Oryza sativa Japonica Group: one gene and its partner. The protein of the gene in region 1 interacts with the protein of each later gene in a pairwise test. Links are inferred from orthologs where the notes say so. Each region holds a gene or a part of one and is shown on either strand. Other genes may lie near its edges. The genes, in order: 187-kDa microtubule-associated protein AIR9 and KIN14I.

The links.
Region 2: the proteins of 187-kDa microtubule-associated protein AIR9 (region 1) and KIN14I interact in binary tests that used the Arabidopsis thaliana proteins (3 or more experiments, as listed by UniProt). The link is inferred for Oryza sativa Japonica Group from reciprocal best matches to the Arabidopsis thaliana genes AIR9 and ZWI.

Annotation. Positions count from the first base shown.
Region 1 is NC_089041.1:2,552,070-2,555,121, reverse strand, and holds part of 187-kDa microtubule-associated protein AIR9, read right to left. Parts: coding exon 2,938-3,052; intron 2,816-2,937; coding exon 2,647-2,815; intron 2,508-2,646; coding exon 2,423-2,507; intron 2,339-2,422; coding exon 2,265-2,338; intron 2,137-2,264; coding exon 2,017-2,136; intron 1,518-2,016; coding exon 1,334-1,517; intron 1,243-1,333; coding exon 1,121-1,242; intron 1,038-1,120; coding exon 830-1,037; intron 701-829; coding exon 627-700; intron 539-626; coding exon 400-538; intron 311-399; coding exon 129-310; intron 1-128. UniProt on the Arabidopsis thaliana protein: Microtubule-associated protein that may be involved in the maturation of cell plates and proper insertion of cross-walls after cytokinesis.
Region 2 is NC_089038.1:34,566,918-34,571,183, reverse strand, and holds the start of KIN14I (kinesin-like protein KIN-14I), read left to right. Parts: upstream 1-1,201; 5' UTR 1,202-1,764; coding exon 1,765-1,829; intron 1,830-2,243; coding exon 2,244-2,316; intron 2,317-2,992; coding exon 2,993-3,124; intron 3,125-3,268; coding exon 3,269-3,498; intron 3,499-3,575; coding exon 3,576-3,903; intron 3,904-4,266. UniProt on the Arabidopsis thaliana protein: Minus-end microtubule-dependent motor protein involved in the regulation of cell division and trichome morphogenesis through microtubules bundling. Possesses basal and microtubule-stimulated ATPase activities.

The DNA of each region.
Region 1 (3,052 bases):
CCTCTACAGGCCTATCCATTTTGAAATAAATAATGAATATTTTGCTCAACTAAAATATCCATCAGTTTCACAAAGTTACAATACGCATGCTGATTTAATCAATAAGACATAAGCGGTAGACAACCAACCTGGTAAGATCGGAGCAGTCACAATGGATATCAATTCGCTGGATCGTCCAAATACATCAGAGACTGAGCATTCACATTTCAGGCATCGGCCAATATCTTCGAAACGTACTTTGTATGAGCGAGAGCACTGGTTAGCCAGTGGCTCAAAAGTCTGATCCACTTCAGATCCACTGGAAGCAAACCTGCATCCAGAGATCCACAGCAAGTGTTATATGCCATATTGAACAATGTGACAAAGTCATGACTCACGACATACACCTCTTTGCATTACCATTGATATGTTATCTCTTTCTTGTAGTTACTCCATAGATGTTGTTGAACTGCAGTGCTTGGAATTTGTTCAAGAACAGTCAGTGTCTCTCTCTCAACCTGATTTCCCTTGAAAGAGAGTGCTTCGATTTTAAGTCGTTCTGGAAAGAAAAGGAGAATTAATACATGTAGTTGCATGGAAAATGTGAACATAGAACAGTATGTAATAGGTTCAGATATTAAAATTACCAGGGAGAATTATATCAGATGGCTCAGAGAGCCTTTCTTCTCCAATGATCCCATCAGAACGAACGGGAATGTACCTATCAAGAATTACAAAATATCATATTCCACAAATGGAAGCCTGATCGGTTATGCAGTAACACAATGTAACCAAGTCATTTTAAATGTGAGCAAGACCAGTTCAAAATAGAAAAATTAAAGTGCCTTACCCAAACAGTAGACGGCGGCTATAATCTGCATCTGTCACTTCATATATAATTAAATCAGCACCATCTATACAATGCCTGGTTCCATCACTAGATTCCCTGTACCACTTATACAAGCTTGACCCCTCATATCCACCATAATAGACTCCTGTTCCGCTATACAACAATGAACTTTTCTGCTTCAAGTGAACATCCGAAACAGATGGAAATGCTGCAAGGTTGGTAAAGGACTGAGGATGTGCAGGCAGTAGTAGTAAACACACAACACTGGCAAGGAAAAGATCAATGGGCAACCTGCCATGACAGGGTCACTGGTAACAGCCACCAACGGGTCACCGATCTCTCCATCATATCGTGCAGGAACCCAGTGAAGAATCAAGTAGAAACCAACATCATCTAACGAAGGTTTGTACATCCTGACAGCATTCCATTAGATCAAAGAGGATTAGTTCTTAACCTAAACCATTCAAAAGTAACAAGCTTGATGAAATCAGTAGGAGAACGCACAAATTTACTCCAACTTCAGAACATGAAGCCACCAGATCAGCCTCCAAGTTGTCAAGCTTCTCTTTAGTTCGGTACCATGTATATTTTCCAGTGCCTTCCTTACCACCAAAGTAGGTTTTGATTGGAGAAATTTCATTGTCTTGAAAACACTCTGGTAGAACAAGATCAACACCCTTGGGGTCCCCTGTGCCAATGATGGACCAACAAATAATTAATGACATCGATTATAATAATATTATTAAATTATGGATGAAATATGCCCAAAACTTTTTTTTTTTGAACTAGAGCCAGAAGGCTCCCATTTCTTTTACTAGAAATGATAGGCTAGTAACAGCAGTCTTTACAAAAGCAAAGAGAAAAGATTAGAAACTAAACATGAGGGTCACTCCAGAATCTGCCGGCCCTAGTTCAGAAGATTCCACAAACGAAATGCTACCCCTGGACCATTACAGGCTTGTCAAAACAAAACTAGGACCCGCAACAGCAAACATAAGCAGGCATCCATGCTTATGTTTAGTTCTGGTCCTAGCACAAAAAACTAGGACCCGCAACAGCACACTTATGCTTATGCTGAAATATGCCCAAAACTATATTCATCTTATCTGCTTTGGTGGACAAGATACATACTGACATAAAATATTCAGGTCCTAGCGCAAAAATATAACATTCTGAGGAAAACTAACCAGGTAGAATTGTATCCGATAGAACACTCTTAGGTGACCCTTGTGATCCATCATCTCGTACAGGTGTGAATATAAGCTCAATGCGCGAATCAACATCGTCTAGAGTAAGATCTAGACATTCTATTAAGATACAAACAATCAACCATTAGTTTGCTATGCAAAGAGAAAAGAACAAACAAACATTGCAGCTGTGTGTGAAAGATAGATACTATACGCATGCCATGAAAGAATGCTTAATGTAAACTAACCATCAGTAGACAATTTCTCTTTGCTGCCATCAGAATGTAATCTGAACCATTCTTGGATGCAGTCTCCCTTGAAACTAGAATGATAAGAAAGAAAAAAAAATAATGTCATCAAATGTGCGGCATTAGACATAATCTAAAACGGAGGTAATGTATCTCACCCTCCTGTATACTCAGCATGAAAGGTCAAACAGCCACCTTCAACCATAGGGCCAGCTAACTCAAGAGATAAGCATGTAGGTGGTCCTGTAAACAGGTAAATTACGAAAATGTTAGTCCTCCGTTTAGTCCACTTATTGTTTTTCAAATTAAGAACAAACGCTGAACCACACAACCAAATAAGAACACTTATTTGCCAAAGTGGTCAAGTTATCAGTTTATCTACCAGGTAAGATAGGACCAGACTCTTCTGTTGACACCAAAGAACCATGAACTCCATCACTTCTAACAGGCTCACACAAGACAGATATGTAAAAGCCAATATCATTACAGTTCAAGGTGTATGATGAACTTGCAGCCCCTTCAATTTGTTTTTGTGATCCATCTGAACTAGTCTGTGGACACAAAAAAAGTTTATAAGGATGTAGCTGGTAACTTGGTACATCCAGGCAGTTACAAATCACTGTGCCATTGTTACGTGAAAGGGAAGAGTAGTGTTTTAATAAGAGGAACCTACCAATATCCAACGGAATATGGTCTCCCCTTCTTCTCCTCCCCAATATCTTCTGCTGGCAACCATTGTGGTCCCCTCAATGGCCTCACCAGTTAGTTCAAGAGAAAGTATTGTTGGC
Region 2 (4,266 bases), on another chromosome or scaffold:
CATCCATCGTTAAGAGTTAGACACAATTGTTAAGAAAGTATGTAGAAATGAATGGTGGAGGTTATGATTAGATGATTAGTGAGATAGGTGGAAAAAGTGAATGATGAAAGGTTGTGATTGGTTGAGAAGAGAATGTTGATGGAGAAGTTGTTATATTTTCAAACAAATTCTGAGAGATAAAAGTTGTTATTTTTGAGACGGAGGGAGCATTATTTTTAAGTTGTTAAAAAATACTTACATTTAGTTAATGCTAAAATTTAATAAAATTTATTTTCACTACCATCTATACACCCACTATATCAGCACAACTGCACAAGCGGCGCCAGCAAAATCGATAGTAGTATACCGGATGTTTCTCGGTTTTACTGCAAAACGAGTTCGAGGACACCACGTTCTGCCAAACTTAATGTTTTTTTTTCTTGTTTGCCGTTATACTAGGAGGAGTAGGCTGGATGCAACAACATTCCCAATATTGAAGGAATATATAGGCTTGCAAAATGCCAGGACAAATTAAGAATTTGAGATGGGAGGAACGGGACAGAAAGCGATGTCATATCCTATTTGCTCTCCCGTAGGACCCATAATCGCTACACGTGGAATCGCGGGGGGGGGGGGGGGGGGGGACATCCGACATGGGATTCGTTCAATTCCAACTCATGCGGGGTAAATGAATGCATTTTGGTTTAGTACGCTTCACTTCATTGCACAAATAAATTGCGTGATTCAGTACGTACTATAAAATCCAAAAAAAAAAGAGTTACCAGTATTACCATTAGCATATCATTGCATACCAGATACGACTCTATGTTTATACTAATACGTGAAGCTGCAAATAGGCAAATGAAAATCAACTCATCTACTGCCTGGACTAGAGTACGAGAAGTAAAAATCTTCACGTCAGGATGCATGCTGTGTGTCACGTTGCTCATCGCGCGGTTCACGCTTGACGGCCATGTCATCACTGTAGAGTGGGCCCAACAGGACACCTCCCCCCTTGCTTCTTCTTTTTTTTTTTTTTTTTAAAAAAACAACGCAAACTGTTCTCCTCAAGCGCACCTCCCCCCCGAAAAATCAAAATCGAAGCGAGAGCGAGTAGTAATTCCCTCGCTGGCGCTGCTGCGTGATTTCTTTAATCCTCCGCCTCCGCCTCCTCGTCCTCGCCACCACTACTCCTCCCTCTCGTGAGCCCCTCGCCTCTCCCTGTCTCCCTCCCACCTCTCTCTCTCTCTCTCTCCTCTCTCTCTCTCTCTCTCTCTCTCTCTCTCTCTCTCTCTCTCCTCCTCCTCCTGCACCGCCCCGCGCCGCCCCTTGGCTTGGATCTCGTCCTGCCGGCCGCGGGCGGACGCGGCGGCGACCCGGTCCTCTCCCCACACCCCGACACGCCGTGCGAGTAGCTGTCTGTCTATACTTTCGAGGCCTGCATTGGCGGGATCTGCGTCCATTCGTCGAGCTGCACGGAGCGGGGAGGGGCGCGGAGCTCTGAGCTGGTGCTTCTGCTTGCGTTTTTTGGGTGTCGCTGGATCTGAGGGCCGCGCTGCTCGCCTGCTCCACGCCGGCTAACGGGGGCGGGGTTCAGGGGGTTCAGGGGGTTCTGGTGGTGGTTGGTAGCGATTGCTGCGTGGTGGATGGGAGTTGAGGCTTGAGGTTGAGGGGTTGCGTCTCTGAGGAGCGGGGTGGATAAGGGAGATGGCGGCCGGCGGCGTCGGTGGAAGCAACGGCGCGGCTACTGCCGCCACGCCGCTGCATGGCTCGGCGACCTCCAGCATGAACGGTGGCGGCGCCAGCGGCGGCGATGGGTACGACAGCGACGGCTACAGCTTCGCGCCACCGTGAGTGCTTGTCTCCTCCTCCTGGTGTTTCTGCTGTCGGTTTAGCGATTTTTGATTTCCTGCTGAAATTTCGGATAAGTTTTGTTCGTCTGAGGTTTTGAATTTTCTATTGTGTATGATTACCTAAAAGTTTCCCAGGCTGCTGGAAAGTAGAGGAAAAGTTGGGTTGAGAGAAGGATTTACTCATTTATTTTGGATTAGTGTCGCTATAATTGGGTGTGTTTGTTGTACTTGAATCCTGGCCTACCTTACTACTGCTTAAATGCTTCGGGTACCAAATTTTTTGTTATTCTGAACTTCGCCATTGGATCCCTATTTACCAAGCTGTGTTCCGTGCACATTCACATGCGATTTTTATTTGCTCTGTGAGGTAGAATGGATCCCTATTTACTCTCTGCATTACTGTTTTTGCAGTACCCCGACGACTTTGTCTATGTCCATACCTCCGGAACTTGCTGGAGCAATTCCACTTATTGATAGGTTCCAGGTATATGCTAGCATTCCCAATGGTGTGATACATCCCATGGCGATAGCAATATCTCATCCATGTTCAATTGTTTACATTACGATTGATGACCATGTTGTGCCTTTAGTGGTTTACAAGAGCGTACACTTTAGAGCTGAGGCATTGTTTTGCTGAACAATTGCAACAGTTGATTGTTTGAGACGGAAGATGCCCATCATAATTATCACCATGCAATAAATTTGACGAGATCCTGTAACAACTAAGAATTGATGTTTTCTCTATAAATGGATGGTGACATATTGAGAGAAAGGATAAGTATTCATATAGCTATGCATTTTGCACTATTCTAACTTGAATAAATAGGCTTGTCTACCTCGTTGTCATTAGTCCTTTTGTCCTTAACATTAGTATTTGCAAGTAGGAAACTTACCAGGCTGAAGAATTGGGAAAGGCTCCTCACAATCTTCTCATTGGTTGTAAACTGGATCATACTTGAATCTTGGATTTAACTTAGTTCGTTAGAGTTCTGTGTTTATTTGTAAATTTTGTCCCTGCGTTCAGTACCTGTAGACTGCAGTGATTCAATAGGAGCATGGAAATATTTCAATAGAATCGATTATTAGTGTCAGTACGCATGCATAATGAATTAATATGACTGCCATGTTAATCGTAGTACTGAAATATGAGTATATGACAGGTAGAGGGCTTTCTGAAGGCAATGCAAAAACAGATCCATTCAGCTGGAAAACGTGGTTTTTTTTCGAAGAAATCTGTGGGACCACATGTTCGTGAAAAGTTCACCTTGGAAGATATGTTGTGCTTCCAAAAGGTGATGCCATCAATCCCCACATTATCTGTTAGGTTGCATTTTGAGCAATTTGTTTATGTTTTCAAATCCTTTGCAAAAGTATAAGATTATGATAAAAATGGCGATGCTTCTATTATTCAGAGTTTCTTTGGTCTATTTTTGCAGGATCCTATTCCAACGTCATTGCTAAAAATAAGTAGTGACCTTGTAAGCCGTTCAATTAAGTTATTCCATGTCATACTGAAGTACATGGGCATCGATTCCCCAGCAATAATAAGTTTGGATGAAAGAATTGAACTTGTTGCAAAGCTTTACAAGCATACTTTGAAACGTTCTGAACTGAGAGATGAGCTCTTTGCACAGATTTCAAAACAAACACGTAACAATCCCGACAGGTATGAAGCAGATTTCTCATGGATAGCAATTCGATGGGATACAACCATCTTATGAATGTTATTATTTGTACTTACAGGGCTTGGTTAATAAGAGCTTGGGAGCTTATGTATTTATGTGCGTCATCCATGCCACCAAGCAAAGATATTGGAGCATACTTGTCTGAGTATGTTCACTACATTGCTCATGGCGCTACAACTGATTCTGATGTTCGAGTTCTAGCACTTAACACACTAAATGCACTGAAACGCTCAGTTAAGGCAGGCCCTAGGGTTACAATTCCTGCACGGGAGGAGATAGAGGCTCTTTTATCCAGCCGTAAGCTTACAACAATTGTTTTTTTCTTGGATGAAACTTTTGAAGAGATCACATATGACATGGCAACAACTGTTGCTGATGCTGTTGAGGTATTTACATTTCTCCTCTGCAAGTAGATTTGAAATTGATATATGCTAATGCTGTTGAGTTCTTCAGAATAATTCAGTCAGACACATATAATATTTTGTTGGTACGGGTGCAACTTTCATGTGATTAAGCTATTATTGGTCGGGTAGTTTAATAATAACCATATGAGCATGGCATGATTTTTAGCCAACTGATGGGCTTGTTAAATAGGTACTCCCTCCATCCCATAATATAAGGGATTTTGGAGGGATGTGACACATCGTAGGACAACGAATCTAGACAAGCTCCTGACTAGATTCGTTGTCCTAGGATGTGTCATATCCCTCTAAAATCCCTTATATTATGGGACGGAGGGAGTAAAAACT